Linked DNA regions of Caenorhabditis elegans. The protein of the gene in region 1 purifies or fractionates together with the protein of each later gene. This does not show direct contact. Each region holds a gene or a part of one and is shown on either strand. Other genes may lie near its edges. The genes, in order: btf-1, pole-1 and F32D8.2.

Region 1 (6,519 bases):
TTTATCTAAAAAAATTTTTTTAAATCAATTTTTTCAACTAAAAATTCACTTTTTCTCCTGGCGTCCTGACCATCTGCACGACAATCTCTAGAACCACCTCCCGTCGCTTTTCATCCGTATTTCGAAGCATGTGGACGAGAGCTTGAGCACATTGCTCTCTAACCGGAGCCGTCGCATTTCTGCCAGAGATGAAATCATTGAACTTGTCGAGAATGAGCACATGGATCAGTAGATAGAGTATTGTGTCGATTAGCTCATAGGATAATCTGAAATTTGGAAAAAAAAGATAGATTTTTTAATTTTTTAAAAATAAAATTCTTCAAACGTGGAGTAGAGTCCAGGGAATAACTATAAAAAAAATTTTAAAGATAATTTAATTTTTTTGAATGATTCTTAACTTTTTCAAAAATCTAAGAAACGGCCGAATTAAAAAATTTTAATTCCCGCGCAAGTGAGTGACGTCATTTTCGTGTTTTCTCACATGGTCAGATTGTCTCATTTCGGTTTGATCTACGTAGATCTACAAAAAATGCGGGAGAAGAGACGCAGAGTTCTCAACTGATTGTCACATTTTTTCGGGCAAAAAAATTTCCCGCATTTTTGTAGATCAAACAGTAATTGGACAACCTCGCACCACGGGTTTTCTGGCTAAATTCTTCAGTTTTTTAAAAATTATTTTTACTTCTATATTTTTTCCTGCAAAAAAATTGTAAATAAATGTTTAAAAAAACCTTCAATGCGTCTGACAAATTTTCAGACGGTGTTTAAAATCCAATACATAAGGAAAAAATCAGGAAAAACGGGTAAAATTAGTCAGAAAACGCGAAATTGTCGAAATAAGGTTATTGATTTGCGCGGGAAATCAAATTTAATTAGGCAGTTATTACGGGAACACAATATTCGGAGAATGCGTATTGCACAACATATTTGACGCGCAAAATATCTCGTAGCGAAAACTACAGTAATTCTTTAAATGACTACTGTAGCGTTTGTGTCGAATTACGAAAATGATTTATTAATCGATGAAATATTTTTTTTTTAAACACAAAAATAATTTTGAAAAAGACGAAAAACCTACAAAAAATTCAGAATCGCTGTAATTTTTCGAAAGAAATTCATTTCAAACTCGAGCTCGTAAATCGACACAAGCGCTACAGTAGTAATTTAACGGATTACTGTAGTTTTCGCTACAAGATATTTTGCGCGTCAAATATGTTGTGCAATACGCGTTCTCAGAATTTTGTGTTCCCGTATTGTTGTTTTTTTTCAAAATTGAAAAAATCATTTTATTTTTTTTGTTTAAATTCTGCCTTTAAAATAAAAGTTAGATTTTTTCAATAAAATTCTTCAAATCCCAAAAAATCCTGCCAAGTACCTGTCATAAGAAGTAGAAGCAATCTGACAAATAGCAATCGCACCGCCATGCCTTGCGTACCATTGTTTCTCGGCTACCAAATTCACTAATTCCCTTAAAACCTTCAAAAACTTCTTTTGCCTTTCAATTCCATCATCACAATTGCCATTTTCTTCATCAAAAATCTCAATTTTCGTGACCACCTCATCCAATTCTTTACTAGTTGATGGTTGATCTGGTTCCGAGATTCCTTGATGCAAAAATTCGTCGTCGCTGAGGAATTTTGTCTGAAATGAAAATTTAATGTTCAACGTTTTCTTAATAATCTCTTTCAGGGGTGAGCGGCAATTGTACATTGTTTCGGCAAAACCGGCAAATCCGCAATTTTCGCCTTTTTTGCCGATTTTCCAGAAGTTTTCAAATCCGGCAATTTGCCGTTTTGCCGGAAATTTCAATTTTTAATTTCAATTCGGGCAAATTGCCGATTTCCCGGAAATTTTTCGATTTTCCACGAATTGCCGGTTTGTCGATTTGCCAAAAGTTTTCAAATCCGGCATATTGCCGGAATTTGAAATTTCCGGCAAATCGGCATATTGCCGGAATTTGAAATTTCCGGCAAATCGGCATATTGCCGGAATTTGAAATTTCCGGCAAATGACCGATTTGCCAGTATTCAATTTCGGTAGTTTGCCGTTTTGCCGGGAATTTCCAGTTTTAATATTTTCAATTTCAAAGCAATTTCAATTTTAATTTCGGCAAGTTACCGGTTTATCGATTTGCCGGAAAATTTCAGTTTCGGCATTTCGCCGATTTGCCAGAATTTTTCAATTCCGGCAATTCGGCAATTTTTCTTCGATTTTTTCTAAAAAATTGAAAAAAATGACTTTCTGGGTTCCAAATTCGAATTTTCATGGGTTAGAAACCGAAAACTCAGAAAACCCCAAATTTTTGCAAGAAAAACGTACTAAAATTTTAGCTAAAATCCAAATTTTCTCAAAAAACTTTGTGAAAAATTGAAAAAAAAATTGACTTTTAAGCAAATCTGGGCGCCAGATTCGTTTTTTTTTGGTTTTTTCCCCAGAAAACTGCCGGAAAAATCGATACCGAGCTTATTCCGGTGGCCCGATTGTATTCAAGGTGTTGATCTACAATTTCCCGCTGTTTCTGATTATTTCCTCGATCTTTTTCCGACTTTTTCAGTGCCGACTCATCATCACTTAACAGTGGCTTGAACGATCGTAAAACGTTCATCACAACGATGCTTCTGACATTTTCCGATACCGATGAGTCTTCTTCATTCTGAAAAATCGATTTTTTTAAAGAATTTCATAACTCAAAAAGCTCAGAAAAACCTTCAATCGTTCGAATTCTGGAGCATTCTGAAGTGTCGCCTGCAACGCTTTTCCAGCAGATACTCGTGTCTCCCAGAGTTGAGATGCCGCGTGTTTTTTGAGACTCTGAAATTAAGATTATTTATATATTTAAAGTATTTAAAAAAGATAAACCCCTGAAAAAAGTGAAAAAATCACTGAAAATGAGTGAAAAATCACCGGAAAAAAGCGAGCTTATATGTTTTTTTCACTCGAAATATCGAAAATTAATTATAAAATTCAGTATTTCTGGGGCATTTTGAGTATTTTAAACGAAGACTAACGGTTTTTGAGTCTAAACCGTTAGTACACCTTCAAAATACTCAAAATAACCCAAAAATACTGAATTTTATAATTAATATTCGGCATTTCGAGGGAAAAAAATATATAAACTCGCTTTTCACCCGTGATTTTTTACTTTTTCTTGTGATTTAAAAAAAATATATATTAATTAACCAACATTTTTCACGTCTTCACTTAAAATTGACAATTTCCCGAACGCAGCGGCCGCTTCATTTCGAACATTCGGATTTTTCGCTTCGAGTAGAGGGTCAAGCTGAAGAAGACGAGCCGACGTGTCGGCGCTCATCGGAAACTGAAAATTTTCAATTTTTCCGGCTTATTTGAGAGAAAAAACAGCGAAAAATGCATTTAAATCCAAAAATCCAAAAAAAAATGGGAGACACCACGCATTCCAGGGAACAAAAATCCTGAGGAAAACTTTAGAAACCCGAGTTTATAGCAGGATTATTCAGGATTATTCAAGATTTCGAGCTTCACATTATACATTATAATAATTATTGATTTAACAATAAGAAGAAAACTAAATTTTGTAGGCAAACCTGATGGGAAACACGCGCGGTTTTCACGATTCGACTTCCGTGCAATTTGTAGTGACTCGAGGAAAACGCGCTCTCCTGGACAAAAACGGCGGTACTTTCAAATATAGTTTTTTCGAGTTTTCGCTTACTTTTCGCGTTTTTTTCGCAGAACTTTTCATGATGATCCGCTTTCAAAATATGAAACCTGAAATGACAACGAGAAAATCTGCTATCCAATTTTATTAAAATACAATGTGGGGGGTGAGAAAAGATACAAAAAGAAAAACGCGGGATTACAGTTCAGTTGCCGGTGCGAAATAATAGAGAAATGATTCTTTTTGGGGGGGGGGGGGGGGGAGAGGGGCAGTAGACTTTTGGAAGATTGATCAGTGAGAGAGAGAGAAATGGGAGAGCTGGATAACAGAAGAAAGAGGGGGAACAGGGGATATCAATACATAATTTATTGGATTTGAATTCCAGACAGCTCAATGTCTCCAGAGATCTGAAGCCCGGCAATGTCGTGTGGATCGGCGCGGTGAGCGAACGAGATGTAGCGTTCTCCGTTGACGAACACCTGGAACGCGTACTCCTCGTTTTGGATGACCAAGTCGAAGCCGACTCCCTTCTCGAATGGGTTCTTTCCCTCGCGCTCCTCATTTCCCCATTCGTTGGCGGCAAGAGAGTTGCGGATGACGTGCTGGAAGAAAGGAAATAAAGAATTTGGTCAAATTTCTATTGAAATCGATTTTTTTTTGTCCTTTCACCAATTTTACCAATAGAAATAGACACATGCAAAACTTTTGTGTCTCATAAAATTGTTTGTTGAAGAGCGCCATATTTGCCCAAATGTAGCAAACAAAATGCGGGTCTTTTTGTGTATGTGTGTGTGAGGCACCACAGAAAGGAGAACAGGTGAACAAGGAGAACACAGAAACCACACCCATTTTTCCGTGCCGCAAGTTTTCCGCAAATTTTGAGGCACCACGTTTTCAGGATCTGGGGCACCGTGCCAACTGCGGTTTTTGCAGTTTTCTCTCGCTGAAAAACGAAACAACGATACTCCGATATGACGCGTCGCGTGTTGTTTAGCGTTCAGAATAATGTTTTTTTGAAATAAAAACTTTTGGAAAACGCTAAACAACACGCATAACATCGGAGCATCGTTGTTTCGTTTTTCATCGAGAGAAAACTGCAAAAACCGCAGTTGGTACGGTTCCAGATCCTGAAAATGTGGTGCCTCTCGCGGCACGGAAAAATGGACGTGGTTCCTGTTCTCCTTTGTCGTGGTTCTCCTTTCTGTGGTGCCTCGTGGCATATATCAACCCTTACCTTCTCATCGAAACGTGGGTTGAAGTGGAACGAGATGTCTCCATTCTTGCGGAGAAGGTTGACGTGGAAGCGCTTGGCCTTCTTCTCAACGGTTCCAAAGACGAGGAGGCTCTTTCCGACTGGAAGTCCGTTGGCGAGTCCGCTCTCGTATGGTACTGGGTAGTACTTTCCTCCCCAGTGAACGTGGTTCAAGTAGAGATCTCCGTCAATCGAGAGGTGAGAGATTGAGGAGAGTGGCAGACGGTGCTCGTAGTCCTTGAACTCCTTGTGGTCGACGATGATCTGGAAGCGATCGTCGTGAGCACGGATGCGAATGTCGAACGAGTCTCCCTTCTTGATTGGGTTCGACTTGCGCTCTTCCTTTCCCCATTCTCCATTCGAGAACGAGTTGAGCACAATTTTGCCCTCATCGAAGCGGACAGAGACGTGGAGTGGCACATCGTTTCCGGAGAAATCCGCGGTCTTCGAGTGAAGGTTGATGGTGAAGCGTTGCGACTCGTCGATCGTCGATCCCTTGACGATGAGCGTCTGTCCGGGCTCGAACTTCTCCTGGAGCACTGAGCGGTATGGTACTGGCTGAAAAATTTAAAAATTTTAATTTTTTAAAAAATTAATTGGATTATTACGGGAACACATTTTTCTGATAATGCGTACTGCACAACATATTTGACGCGCAAAATATCTCGTAGCGAAAACTACAGTAACTCCTTAAATGCCTACTGTAGCGCTTGTGAAATGCCGTAAATCGACACACAAGCGCTACAGTAGTCATGTAATGAACAATGAACTACTGTAGTTTTCGCTACGAGATATTTTGCGCGTCAAATATGTCGCGCGATACGCATTCTCAGAATTTTGTGTTTCGGTAATAGATTTATAAGTAGAGTTTTCTAGAACCATTTCTTCTTCCATATGCCATTTTAAAATGTTCAGTAGGGTAATCATGTAGAAATATATGCTGGGGGGGGGGGGGGACCTCGCGTGTCACACACTGGTGAACAGAATAAGCGAGCAAGAAGCGAGACCCGAAAAAGCGGAAGAGCTGTTATCCAATCTGCATCCACCAATCTTCGCGCTCCCCAGACTTTCATACAGCTGACGACGACAAAAAATGCCTTTTCTACATTGTCTAGTTGCTTTCTATTTTTTAGCTCCATTTTGCTCCATTTTGCACAAAATTTTGTTGTGATGTGCCGCCGAGCAAACACACCAGAAATATGGCGGGAATCTCGAATGTTGATAATGGAACCGAAGGTGTGGGCGAGCAGATAACGAGAGGAATGTGTCACTTTAGTGGCAACCAACAAACTTGGAATGCTCTCCATTTTCGAGCTGGTGTCAGAATGTCCCATGTCAGTTTGATCTCCGAAAAGTTGCAGGAGAAAAAATTCCCGCTTTTTTTTGTAGATCAAACATGGGACAGCCTGACACCCCCATGTATAGAGGCATGCTTTACCTTGTTCTGCTCGTACCAGCGAAGGAATTGAGGAGTGGAAGACATTAGTGTAAAGAGTTGAGCTGAGGAAAACTGAAAGCGATCGTTCAGGACGCGAGTCAAACGAAGAACTGACGACCGGTAAACAGTTTCAACAAAAGCTGAGAGTGTGAGAGGAGAGAGAAACCAGACAGTTGAACAGTCATAACA
Region 2 (6,519 bases), on another chromosome or scaffold:
ATAAATCGAATTCTCCGACGATTTTGAGTAAGACCCATCTTTTTCCAGAGTGTGGTACTGATGATTGGTGAATCCTTCATACACCAACGCATTCAGCATTGCACCCGGATACGACACTGTAACAGAACTTCTTTTGTGATTTTTCAGCTTGAAAGTGACATTTTCAGGGAACGAAGCAGGGATCAGGCACCAAATTCCATCAGTGTCAAGCTCCAACGGTGTTCCAATCTGTTCAACAAGTTTGCGTGCTTCTCGGATGATATTTGCACCAGTATGGCACACAATTCCAGCCATCTCCATTGAAAACCATCTGGATCCTTTACGCATCACATATCCGTAGAAAGAGTTGAGAATGCACTTGTGAGCCAGCTGCAGTGATTCGTAGAGCACCATTTCCACTGAAAAATGTTGTTTTTAACTAAAAATGTAAATATAACCACATACACTTAGATGTAGTCATAGTTGCAAGATCATTTGTCGCCTGGGCTTGATCGAATCGTCCTTTCGCCTTTTTCAACATATCCTTGTACTCGTATCTTCTATCACGGAACGCTTTTACAGTTTCCACGTAGAAATGATTCTCCCGTTGACAAATTGTAGTTTCTCTCATTTCTAATCTTGTCAAATGAGTCTTTCCGTAGACACGCCTGCTGTAATCTTTGATACGCTTCATTTCGATGGCTTCTCGCTCCGATCTCTCGAGCATATGAAAGTGTTTCGGTGGTTTTCCAAACGATTCTGCTTCGAGTTGCTGCATAATTTGCTGGTATTCTCCTCGAGTGGCTGGTGCTGAAAATTTCAGATTTGGGCTAGATTTGCTTGGGCTTTCAATAAATATAAAATCATTATTCCGTACTCAGCTCTCCCCTCCATTCCCAAGCCATCGTCCTCTTGCATTCTGCGTCTGGTTTGTTGTAGGAGCATCCCATGCAAATCTCCTCGGTGACCATCGCACATGGCTGAAAATCAGAGAATAGTTAAATATATATCAGTCCAAATCTTAACCTGCAATCGATTAGTCAAAATGATGTTGGGGTACATGGCCCCGACGTCCAAATGGTAGATACGTGGATTCTCGAGGCGTGTTGGCACATTTATCATTCCATCAAATGCATCTTGAACTTCAGCGCACTGCTCATCAAAGTCAACGACCTGGTCAAGAGTGACCTCAAACTCTCGAGCCAGCTCCTTGCGAAGGGTCTCTTGAATCTCGGATTTTAATTGCTCAAGAGCAGGAACGGAAAGCCGGAATCTGAAAAAATCGTTATTTTCTCGCTTTCAAATGAATCCTGAATTTACTTTGCTGGAATATCCGCTCTGAATACGCCGGCCTCCAGAGCTTCCACGTGTCCTCCGACATAGGTCTCGCTCTCAACACGATGTCCATCTTTACTGAATCTTGTCTCCTCTGGTCCAGTGTACTTGTTCGGGAACACAATATTGTTATGGAATGCTTCAACCATCAGAAGAGCTTCACAAAGTGTTCCAGATCCTTTTCTCAACACGTCATCTGCTCCTAGTGGGATAATTGTGCACAAAGCGAAGATAAATTGATGAACATACTTCATGTAGAGATAATAAGTGGACACTGCATCCGAAACCGAGTAATTGGCCAGCTGTTGAGGCTGCTCTCGAGCCATTTTGCACATCAGTTCCGGCTCCACCTCAACTGGATCATATCTCAGCTTTGCCTTCGTCACTGCCTTCAGATTCTGACTTCCAACCGGTAGATATGAGTCACGTTTGACCCATCGGAAAGCGTCCATATGAATACAATTTCGTGATTTGTACTCATCGGCGGAATCCTTAGAAAATCCGATTTCCCTTTCCATATTGAATCCGCGGATCTTGGCACGAGCTTCTACGAATGGCCAATCGAAGAAATCTCCATTGTAGGTGACAACAATATTTGGACGAACCTGCAAGAAAATGATTCTAATCAAATTCAGTTTAAAAGTAGAATTTACCTGCAAAAAATGATCGAAAAATTTCCGAATCAGAGCAGCTTCGTCCTTCTCATTCCAGACTGTGAATTCTCCTATGTACTCGGCTTTCGGTGTGTATTCGAACGCATTAATATCAGCCGACACGATTTCTCGGTTGATAATCAAAAATCCACGTCCATCAACCATATATGATATCATCATAATTTCATCGCTCTCACGATCCGGAAATTTCAACGGAAGTTTCGTTGTTTCAATGTCAAAGGCGAGAACTTTCGGCTTTGCGTGGAACAAGGGCAAATCTTTTCGCTTTATTGTTGGAACACGGTTCGGGCCAATTCCTTTCACATCGTACCTGGAAATTTATAAATTTAGAATTTAAAAAAGAAGAAAAGGATGATTCCAACCATAATCCGACGAAGATCTTTTCATCGATGGAAACTCTCATGTGAAAAGGCACGTCGTATTCTCTGATATCAACAATTTGATTCAAGATGTCACCATTCAACTGTTGATCCTTACTATCTCCTCCTTTTCCACTCAGATTCCTCGCCAAATAGTCAGCGTACGCCGACTCTTTTTTGATGCGATCTGTGTTTTTCCGCACCAGCGGCATTAATTCCTTACGGATTTTTATCAATTCCACGGTGCTGGTGAATGAGAGTTTGATATATGTCTTCTTCAACCCAGAAAGATGATCTTTCAAATCTAAATCCTCCCGATCCATATGTTCAACTGCTGTCTGGGCTCCGTACTTCTTGGACAGATAACTGGATACTTGGAATTCAAATCCATCCAACGTGGCAATATAGAAATACGGTCGAAATGGGTAACTGATTTTGAAGCGTTCGTCCATATCACTGATGAAGAAATAGTCAACGACCGAAATAATAACTTTGGTTTGCTCGTCGACAAGCTCCGAAGGTTGGATGTTTATCAGAAATCCTTTTTTCTCCTGTAGTCCTGTGTATCTAGAGAAACCAAGCTTCGCATCAATCTCATCATTTGATCTGATCAGGGCAAGCCGCTCTTTGTAGTTTGAATCACTAAAAAAAGAAGATTTTATACTTTCTCCATTCTTGAAACAAACTTTTCGACCGCCTGTGCAAGAATGTCATCCTTGGAGCTCATTGAGCTTGCTGGCGATGACCGAACTTGTCTGAAAATACTGAAAATCAAATAACTAAAGAAAAAACTAGATAAAATGGCAAATTTAAGTTAATTTCATGGGAAATCGAGTTTAAAATGCAAGATTTCGCGCGCTCGGCCAGAGGACGAGTTGGGTGGAATTCTAGGCCACCAGATCATAAAATGGAGGGAAGGAGCAGAATTTGAATTTTAAAGCAATACAATTGAATTTCCGAGAGGCACCACGGAGGCACCACGTTTTCAAGATTTGTTCAAAAACAAGATCTACGAAAACAAGATCCACCAAAACAAAATCTACCTTTTCAAGATCTACCAAAACAAGATCTACGTTTTCAGGATCTGGCACCGTGCCAACTGCGGTTTTCTCTACGCGTGCGTACGCGTGTTGCGTAAATTCTAGAAGAAAATTTCAAAAAATATTCGTTTGAACGCTAAACAACACGCGAACGTAACATCGGAGCATCGTTGTTTCGTTTTCTTCGAGAAAACCGCAGTTGGCACGGTGCCAGATCCTGAAAACGTAGATCTTGTTTTGGTGGATCTTGTTTTCGTAGATCTTGTTTTTGAACAGATCTTGAAAACGTGGTGCCTCGCACCACGGTATCAAGATCTGGTAAAATTCCGGATCTCCGTTTTCCGGATCTACCATTTCCGGATCTACGTTTTCCGGATCTGGCCAACTCTTAAAACGCTATTTTTCTCGGAGAAAAACGTGACAACGATGCTCCGTTGTTAAGCGTCGCGTGTTGTTAAGCGTTTCTTCTAGAAGAAATTTTCAAAAAACAACGTGCGTCGAGTGAATAAAAAAGCGTTTTGTGGGTTGGCACGGTGCTAGATTCGGAAAACGTAGATCCGGAAATCGTATTTCCGGAAAACGTAGATCCGGAATTTCACCAGATCTTGAAACCGTGGTGCCTCATTTCCGACAATATTATTTAGCTGACATTAGACAATTATTAAATTCAAATAAATATTTTTATTCTGTTAAAAATTACAACAATCATCTTACAAATACATATTTTTCACAATCTAAACAACTTCAGTATCCTTGACTCCATATTTCTTCAGTTTCTCGTATGCTTTCTTATGAATAACCGCGTCATCAGAAGTCACAACTGGCATTTTGAATGATTGTTTGAATGCATCAAGTGCTTCGGCTTTTTGTCCTAGTTGTTCGTACACTTCGCCAATGTAGTAGGTATTCGTACTGTAGAATCCGGGCTGAAAATTTGAATTTAACTATAATGATCTGAATTTTTCGTGGCACTATTTACTTCCCAAGTGGAGGAAAATGTTCAAAGTGTAAAAAAATTTGGTCGACAACTTTTCATTTTTGTATGTTTTTGATTGACTATGAGAGATTCACTAAAAGTGTTTGAATTCTGATATTTTTTTACCGAAATCTGTTCAGCCTTTAGGAAATAGTGTAGAGCCTCCTGATATGTGGATGCTGGTGGAGTTGCGAAAATAGCTTTGGCCACCATTCGAGTCGCGTAACCCATATTGGCGAAGGAAAAGTGCCAGACTCCTGAAATTTGAGGTTTTCTTTTTAATTCTCGAAGCGAAATGCAGAAATATCTAAAAAAAATAATGGTTAAGCACCGCCCGCCCCCGTTGATTGAACGGTGAGCTGTAGAGCTTTAATTCGGAATAAACACGGGGTGTCAGAAAGTCTCATTGCGGTTTGATCTACAAAAAATGCGGGAATTTTTTCCCAGAAAATTTGTGACGTAAGCACACTGTTAACCATGCGAAATCAGTTGAGATGTCTACGTCTCACCTCCCGCATGTTTCGTAGATCAAAGCGAAAAGGGACCGTCTGACTCCACGTGAATAAATTCTAACATGATTTTTCTTTTTTTTTCTCTGTTCAATCCGGAATCCCTTACCCAAAATATGCCACGTTGTTGGATCGTTCTCGAAAATCGATAACGCCTTCTCTAAATGTTTCCGCACTTGGAATGATTTTTCGATTCTCGATTTGTTTCCCTCGATCTCTCCAACGTAATCCAGTAGAATGGCATACCTAAAGATAGCCATGTGGCATAGAAAATGCTAAAACTCAGCCGCCAAAAAAGGCAGGTGCTCAGTTTTCGATTTCCACCCTCAGTCATAGTTTTTTTTTCTCGCAAAATTGTGTTGTTCTACCCGGAATAAATAGCGTTTTAACTCCAAATCGTACCATTTATGTGCTCCAAAGCATCCATTCTTTGGCTCATTGTCAAGAGCTTTTTTCACAATTCCATAGGCTTCCAAAATGAGCTCTTTTCGTTGATTTTGATCTTTTGAGAGTTTTCCTTTCTCACAAACCACACGTGCCAGACGCCATAGAAGCTCGGAGCAATTGGAATTTTCAAATCTTAAAAATTGGAAAGAAAAGTTAAAATGGACATTTCTAAAAGTTAATTGAAAATTCACTTTTTCAAAATATTATAACAATTATCGATTAGATAATTATCATAAAGTTCATCCGAATTTCGAACAATTAAATCGAAATTTTTCGGTTTTCCATCAATTAATTGTCCATTTCCTGAGTCCAAATTCTTGTTCTCTTCAGTTTTTCCAAAAAATGCGATTCCAAGCGAGGTTCCACCAGTGATTGCAATTAATTTCGGAAGTTTTGGAGAAGATGTCGGGCGGCGAGAGAAATTCGAAATAAAACGGAGATTGAATACTCGTTTGAACATTTTTTTTCTTCAGAGGCTGCAAAAATTAGACAATTTTAAATAAATTATAAATATTGAAACAAAAATATATTATTAATTTCGATGGCCTTTTTCCAAGTACATAGGTAATTTTTCAAAAAACTCATACTCAAAGACGCATTCACTGAATTATTCCAACCCCCTAATTCCGAATATCTTTAAATTTTTTAAACTAAAAAAGCCTTAAATTTATCGTTTTTTTTTTCGAAAATTCGGATTTTCATCGAGTTGTGATTTGGATATAATAAAATGTTCAATTGACACGGAAAAAACAATTTTCCAAATAATAACCAAAAAAAAAGTTTTTGAAAAAACATGACAGATGGTGAAAAATCCCGTAAATCGACACAGCACGGTGCGCCCCAATGAGACTGCCTCTGGCGCGTTAAGTTTTGGGTGCGAGATTTCAAGCTGAAATATTAAATCCGAGAAGTTTTTTTTTAATTTCACAAAGATATTCGGAAAGAGTCATACGCCAAAACCTTTTTCGAACAAAATGAAAATTTGAAAATTAATTTTGAACACTCGAAAGGGAAAAATTTTGCGTTCAAACTGGTTCCAGGCAAGTTTTAGAAAAATTCTCGTAGGCTACTGAGAACGCTATAATGTTGTCAGCATTTCACAGTTCAAAGTACAAGTGGTGTAAAGGTAAACACTGATAAGTGATAATGAGAGAAGAGAGAAAAAGTTCGGCCAAGCTTTATGAAAATCGATTTGAAAAA
Region 3 (6,519 bases), on another chromosome or scaffold:
GTTTCTCTTGATAGAAACAATAATTATGCATCTCGTGAAGTTGAAAAACAACCTAGAATGGTTCATACATCATCTCGTCACGTCAATGAAGGATTTTTTGGAGTGAGTCAGAACATGAACCTGAGCCAATCTTGTTTTTTTTCAACATTAATAATGGGGGATAAGTACAACTATACACTTTTCGTATATATGTGCACTTTCTGAATGTCCATTCCATTTCCGTCCACTCGTTTTTTTTTTCATTTTTCTTTTTACTTTTACTTATTACTTTTTTGAGCAAGTTGTGAGTCTCCAGATGTTTCTGTTATTGCATCATATGCTTGGTACGGGGACTAGTACGGAAATGGGAACGAAGAAAGAATAAGAGAGTCACCGGAAATGGTCCCAATAGGTATTTTTTGTATATGTTTATGGGATGTTGACTCATCGAACAAAATGTCTAGGGTTGAGAATGTTTTGAAAGCTAAGTGAATCAACGATCAGAATTTGATTGTGATTATAGGTTTGAACATGTTTCTTCAGTTTCTTCAGTTCATTCATAGTATCGGTTGCAGTTCGGCAATTGAGGGTATTCCCCTTGTCCATATTTCTTTTTGATCCTTGGAAGCCTCGCAATCGTGGCTTTGAAATTAAAATTTTTACTGATAAAATTTTGAATTTCCCGTACTTTGCCAGTTAAAAGAACTGTTATCTATGAGGGTCCATACAAAAAAGCATTTAAATTGAAAGAATTCACCAATTTTTACAAAATTGACAAGAACAACAAAGTAACCTTCAAACTTCGAAATATTTACCTCATGCTCCCAATAAACTTCCAACGTTTGGCCGATTTTTCACTTCAGTAAGCATGCTTGTCTGTCCCGATCTTTTGTTGATACGTTGTGTCAAAAGTTTTTAAAAGTTCAAAATTTACGTAATACCCAAATAAAACATGTCTACTTTCTGCAATTACTGCCAAAGATCTACGAAAGAAATGTTCCACCTCATTGACTTTAGCGACCTATTTAACAAATATTTTACTTTTAGCAAACGAACACTTCTGGAAAATGTTTTTTGAACGCAAAGGCCTTGTTCCATTTTCCTTCTCGGCACATCCGTCATAACAATAACTTGTAGTATGTTCAAGGGACAAACCGCTTCTGGGTTTAGGTTAGAATATGCATAAGAAATTGGGATGAGGGAAATACTACATTCCGGATAGTTAGGCAACAGATCATGTCACTAATGGAATCTTTCAGCGTCTCACTTTCTTCATTCAACTTTCATTTCTTTATTTAGGTTTCCAAATGGATCCAACGTGTTGACGGGCGTCAAGACATTGAAAAGCAATACGAGATTGGGGCTATTATTGGCAAAGGAAATTTCTCGAGTGTGCATTTAACTCGACGCAAGGAAGATGGCACCAAATGTGCGCTTAAGGTTCGGTACCAGTCAACATTGCAATTTTCATTTCCTTCAAAGTTTTTTCAGCAAGTTGAGAAAAGAGCAATGCGAGGGAAATGCTTTTTTGTGGACAATGAGGTGGAGATGTTGTCACTCATTCAACATGATCACATCATATCGATTATCGATGCTTTTAGCACTGAAAATCAATACTTCATAGTTTTCGAACATGCACAGGTGAATGATACTCCCAGTTTTGAACAATAACGTGCAAAACTTGACAACACAGTTTGAAAAAAAAAGATTTTTTCAGTACGGGGACTTATATGAAACTATCCGTAAAAATGGTCGAATCGAGGAACCAGATGCTGCTATCATAACTCTCCAAGTTGCATCTGCACTCAATTATCTTCACGAAAGAAATGTGGTTCACAGAGATGTCAAACCTGAAAATCTTCTTCTCGTTGACAAATTTAGTGTGAAGCTTTGCGATTTTGGATTGGCATGTCACATTCTTGGACCTCTGTACCGTATCTGTGGAACCCCAACCTATTGCGCACCAGAAGTTCTTCGGGAGACCGGATATTCGACAAGATGTGATATTTGGTCCCTTGGAGTTGTTCTTTATGTTATGCTTGTTGGATATGCTCCATTCCGTGCACCAGATCAAACCAGATTATTCAAACTTATAATGCAAGCTAAACCAAATCTGGATATGCCAGAATGGAAAGGAATTTCATTGAGTGAGTTGACTGAAACTGAATCTCTAGAAAAAAAATTATTCATAGAAAAAGGAGCAAATTTTCAGAGGCTAAAGATTTGGTATCTCGCTTGATGAATAAAACTGAAGAACGCCGACCACTTGCATCCCAAATAATGGCTCATCCATGGATTGCTCCATACACCATGGAAAATATTGATGATGAATGAATGAAGAAAATTTATAAGTATTGCCCGGTGCCAATGTCTTTCCTTTTCTTGCATATTGATTTGAATAAATAAAATGTACAGTTAAATTTATAAGTTTTCAAAATCTCTTCAAGATAAAAAAACGTGCTCCTATTAAAAAACAGATACATAAAAGTATATTAAAATTGATAAACGCAAACAATTTCTACTTTTTTCGCAGTGTGAGCGGCTGAAAGATTGAACTATTTCCGATGAAAGATGGTGAAAGCCCGTGACTGATGGTTATCCAAAAGACAGTTTCGATGCACTTTTCACGTCAAAATTATATATTTTTAACAACTTTCCTCTTTATAAATACCAAGTTGTAACATATAATCAACTGACCATATCTGGTATTCATTTGTTACATGAACTGGTTCCGGCATTAAGCATCCCCGTCTCTTATGTACATTCATTTGTTCATTCACACCACAAAAGCCATTTAACAATGTCGTTCAATCTAAGAAAACACCAAAGTATTCTTCCAAGTAGCATGATTTTAATGTTTCTTTGCTTTTTTCTTTTAATATTTTCGGTGATAATGAGTCATTTTTCAATCGAGATTAAAGAATTTGATAAGGATGGTGGAATCAAGTATAAACCAGAGTTTGTTTATTCCTTGGTAGGTATGTGATGTTTTTGATTAATTTTCCTGCAGTCTGATTTTCAGAAACCAGAGAATTACTGACCAATGTTTGTAAACTTCCATATATTTTCTTTCCGAATGAAGATGAGGACGTTTTTGGACTTACACCGGACAAATCGAAACAACATATTGTGAGGTGAGGAAAATTGAATTATGCAGAAAATCCAATGAATAACATTTCAAGAGGCGAATGCAAAATAAATGAACTGAATGAAAAGGTTGACTTATCATCTGACGGATATTTGACACTTCGATCAAAAAATACAAATGATTTACCCTCTGATATAAGGTTTGAACTATTTAATTTTTTGTCTTCAATAAGTCAATAACTCAACATATAACTTCAGATGCACCTTTTACAAAAATAGTGGGCCAAATGAGCACCCAATTAAGGTATGAAAGTTAAAATTAAATCTTTAATAATCATAAACATCAGGTTGAAAAAAATGTGCCCGTTAAAGTTCCATTCTACAATTTTGCTTTTGCTTGCGAAAGAAACGGTATTGTTGAATTTCTGAAACCCTTTGTGAATTTTGCATCAATTCCAAAAGTAAGATGAGTTAACAATAGAATCTAAAATTCAACACCATTTTAGAAATCAAACGGGGGATCAATTGCCATAATATTTCTTCCAGCAATAAATCACAAACTATTTATGAAGAAAATGCCGTTGAGTAAGCATTTCATGCAAGACAACCAGTTCAGATTTGCACAATTTATGAGCAAAGTAAGATGTTACTCGATTTTGTAATTATCAATATCGCTAATATTCAGAATGAACCAAATTCAATGCAAGATTTGTTACTACAACTTGGAATTTCAAATAAAATTAATATGTTCAGAAAAGCAAAGCAAAATAATTTTACAACTTTTTTCTCTGGTCCACAACAAATCAGATATATGATTGATGTAGATTATGATACTTTGGATCATCAGAATTTCATAACACAATTCTTAATTGATGGAAACTTATGTTTGAAAAATGGAAAAGTAAGTTTTATATTTCAAAAAAAGTTTATATCACAATTTTTCTAGAAATTAGTAAATGATCAATTGGAAAAAATCGGAGCATTTCTGACATCAACAGCAGATTCCAAGGTGTTTTCAGCAATGTTTATTGATGAATATGATGAATATCGTAGACAATCAATTGATCAAGATTTGAAGTATTATAAAAGTTTTTGAGGAAAAAAACGGACCTTTTTTCAGAAAAATGTTGGATCTATTAAAGGAATCAAACATTTTCGAGAACACTACACTAATCATCACTTCGTACGACTTATCAACAAAGTGAGATTCTTATTTACATTACATGTTAATTTGAACAATTTGCAGAGATATTGAAAACGAAAACGACAAATATCCAATGTTTGCTTTTCGTCCATCCAACCAATTCATAGAAAATAATAATCAGAAACTATATTTCATGAATATGAATTTCAACAGGTTAGGTCTAAAAATTATATTTAAAAAGAATATCTGAGTTTAGGTTATTGTCTTCTACTAATTTCAATCAAATGCTTGTTGAATTAATCAATCCGAAAGAAAAATCTTCAAAATCTGTCTTCATAGCTCAACCAACATCAAGGAACTGTACGTCTGAAGGAATATCAGAAAATATATGTTTATGCATGAATATGGTAATTTCTTTGAAAGTCGGAGAAAAATATAATTATACTTTCAATGTTTAGAGTACATCCTCTGGGTATCCTGAAAAAGGCGAAAAAAACTTCCTTCAAACATTGCGAACAAGATTTACACAAGAAGTGAAAACACACAAATGTGTTCGTTCGTTTGAACTTGAAGATTATAAAATTTTTTATGAATACTCAATTGGAACGTGCGTTATTTTATTTGTATTTCTCTACAATTAGATAAACTGTTGTTCAGAAGTAAGGAAGTACGTGGCGTAGAATTGACCGGATTTGTGAATATTATCAGTTCAAGGGGTAAGGTAAGTTCAATTAATTTTATCTTTTTTTGTTGCAACTAATTTGTTTTTTTTTCCAGAAAACCCTTTTGCTGAAAAAGATGTTCACCTTCAAACCGGAGTTTGCTTCATTTAATAGTTTCGATACAGCAAGGGTTGTTGTCGGTTATGAAGTTAACATTGGTATTGCAAGGTAGGGATTTCCGGTGGAAATTGTTTATTTATTAATCTGTTTTCAGCATGTGTGATTTGTAAAACAACAATCTCACAGGCACTGGCAAAGATTAATACGAGATTCCAAATTTCAGAATGTCACATATCTCACTATATAGTTTGTTCTTATTATTTTTCAAATTATATATGAAATTGATTTTAAGCATATTGTTTTTTTTCCAAAACTGACCCACATAAACAACGAATTTTCATCCCCCGTTTCACCTCATTTCTTTCGTCCTTCCTAGTTTTTCCCTCGCTTTCCATTCTCCTTTTTATTCGATTTTACGCCCTTTTCATCAGCTTTTCCCCTCAATCCTTATCAAATTCCATTACATCACCATGTTCCTCTGTGTTCTGTGATTGTTTCCATATCAATTAGTTCTGTACAGATGACCACCTTTTGTCCGAATCCCCAGCCCGTCTCGTTCGTCACGTTTTTCACTCACTTTCTTCTTCAGTTCGGTTCCACAAACGGCTTCCGTCTGCGTCTCTGAACATTGTTTCACTGTTTCTTCTCTCTTTTTTTTGTCTACTGAGACATACAAAACCTTGTAATAATATCTAGATGCAGGTCTCACCTTACTGTACTATTTTTCGAGATCTGAATTTCCTCGAGACTATTAAAGACGGACTGAAACAGTGGCTACTTCTGTAGAGTGAAGCCATGTTTGAATGTTTGAAGGCCGTTCCTCTAGATTTTTATAGCTTTTATCGGAATTGCCCATCATCATCAAATTAATAATATCGTATTCCTTTCCGATTCATATTCGCACCTTGCCATTCCATTTGTCTGAACTGTTCCATTTCCATCTCTCATTCATTACATTCACCTACATTCTCATTTGCAGATGCATACTCTCTCCATTTTATTACCTTTTCTACTTGTGTTATCCACATTTTCTCAAGTATCTCATGAGTTCCGGCATAAAGCTTTTCGAACATTGAAAACTCCAAAAGTCAATAAACAAAGGTTATCTTTGATTATTCAAAGACTACGTATGAATGATACCACTAGAATAAATGGAGAAGGTATGTAATTTGAATGGGAATTTAAATACAATTGAAAGGTTTCAGAAAACTGCCCTATGTTCCAATCATTTTCTCATTGTGCCTGTGAATCAACCTGCAACAATCCAGACCCGGTAAGAACCTTTTTTCTCAAATCCAATCGTAAATAACAGGCAAAGTTTCCAATAGTACTATTATCGGTATAATTCAAAAAATTCCAGTATTGCTCTAAATGTGAGCCTGGATGCACTTGTCGAAATGGATTTGTTCGGAATTCTCTCAAATTGTGTGTTCTACCGGAAGAATGCCCACGGACCAAACTTCGACGTTTTGAACTACAACCACCTAGACGACTCTATGAAGCCGTTCCAGTTGTTATCACAACTAC

What was found.
Region 2: the proteins of btf-1 (region 1) and pole-1 fractionate together in Caenorhabditis elegans (co-fractionation; one large-scale study listed by BioGRID). This does not show direct contact.
Region 3: the proteins of btf-1 (region 1) and F32D8.2 fractionate together in Caenorhabditis elegans (co-fractionation; one large-scale study listed by BioGRID). This does not show direct contact.

What each region holds. Positions count from the first base shown.
Region 1 is NC_003280.10:13,196,965-13,203,483, reverse strand, and holds the start of btf-1 (BTAF (TBP-associated factor) homolog), read right to left. Parts: upstream 3,320-6,519; 5' UTR 3,314-3,319; coding exon 3,185-3,313; intron 2,812-3,184; coding exon 2,707-2,811; intron 2,654-2,706; coding exon 2,459-2,653; intron 1,642-2,458; coding exon 1,376-1,641; intron 267-1,375; coding exon 50-266; intron 1-49. Other genes in the region: lec-1 (Galectin), read right to left, coding at 4,006-4,242, 4,875-5,450, 6,331-6,375.
Region 2 is NC_003279.8:15,010,801-15,017,319, forward strand, and holds the start of pole-1 (DNA polymerase epsilon catalytic subunit), read right to left. Parts: upstream 3,105-6,519; 5' UTR 3,075-3,104; coding exon 3,034-3,074; intron 2,990-3,033; coding exon 2,351-2,989; intron 2,299-2,350; coding exon 1,968-2,298; intron 1,920-1,967; coding exon 1,300-1,919; intron 1,253-1,299; coding exon 1,006-1,252; intron 960-1,005; coding exon 857-959; intron 790-856; coding exon 445-789; intron 399-444; coding exon 1-398. Other genes in the region: F33H2.6 (Regulator of microtubule dynamics protein 1), read right to left, coding at 4,122-4,313, 4,490-4,620, 4,982-5,118, 5,275-5,451, 5,511-5,779.
Region 3 is NC_003283.11:10,880,999-10,887,517, forward strand, and holds F32D8.2 (ATPase_AAA_core domain-containing protein), read left to right. Parts: upstream 1-2,779; coding exon 2,780-2,957; intron 2,958-3,001; coding exon 3,002-3,113; intron 3,114-3,161; coding exon 3,162-3,266; intron 3,267-3,324; coding exon 3,325-3,370; intron 3,371-3,413; coding exon 3,414-3,527; intron 3,528-3,572; coding exon 3,573-3,704; intron 3,705-3,751; coding exon 3,752-3,967; intron 3,968-4,012; coding exon 4,013-4,143; intron 4,144-4,186; coding exon 4,187-4,267; intron 4,268-4,312; coding exon 4,313-4,423; intron 4,424-4,466; coding exon 4,467-4,617; intron 4,618-4,668; coding exon 4,669-4,817; intron 4,818-4,867; coding exon 4,868-4,931; intron 4,932-4,987; coding exon 4,988-5,104; downstream 5,105-6,519. Other genes in the region: cat-6 (Protein kinase domain-containing protein), read left to right, coding at 1-102, 1,279-1,419, 1,471-1,620, 1,697-2,126, 2,192-2,313; F32D8.3 (TIL domain-containing protein), read left to right, coding at 5,972-6,152, 6,198-6,265, 6,353-6,519.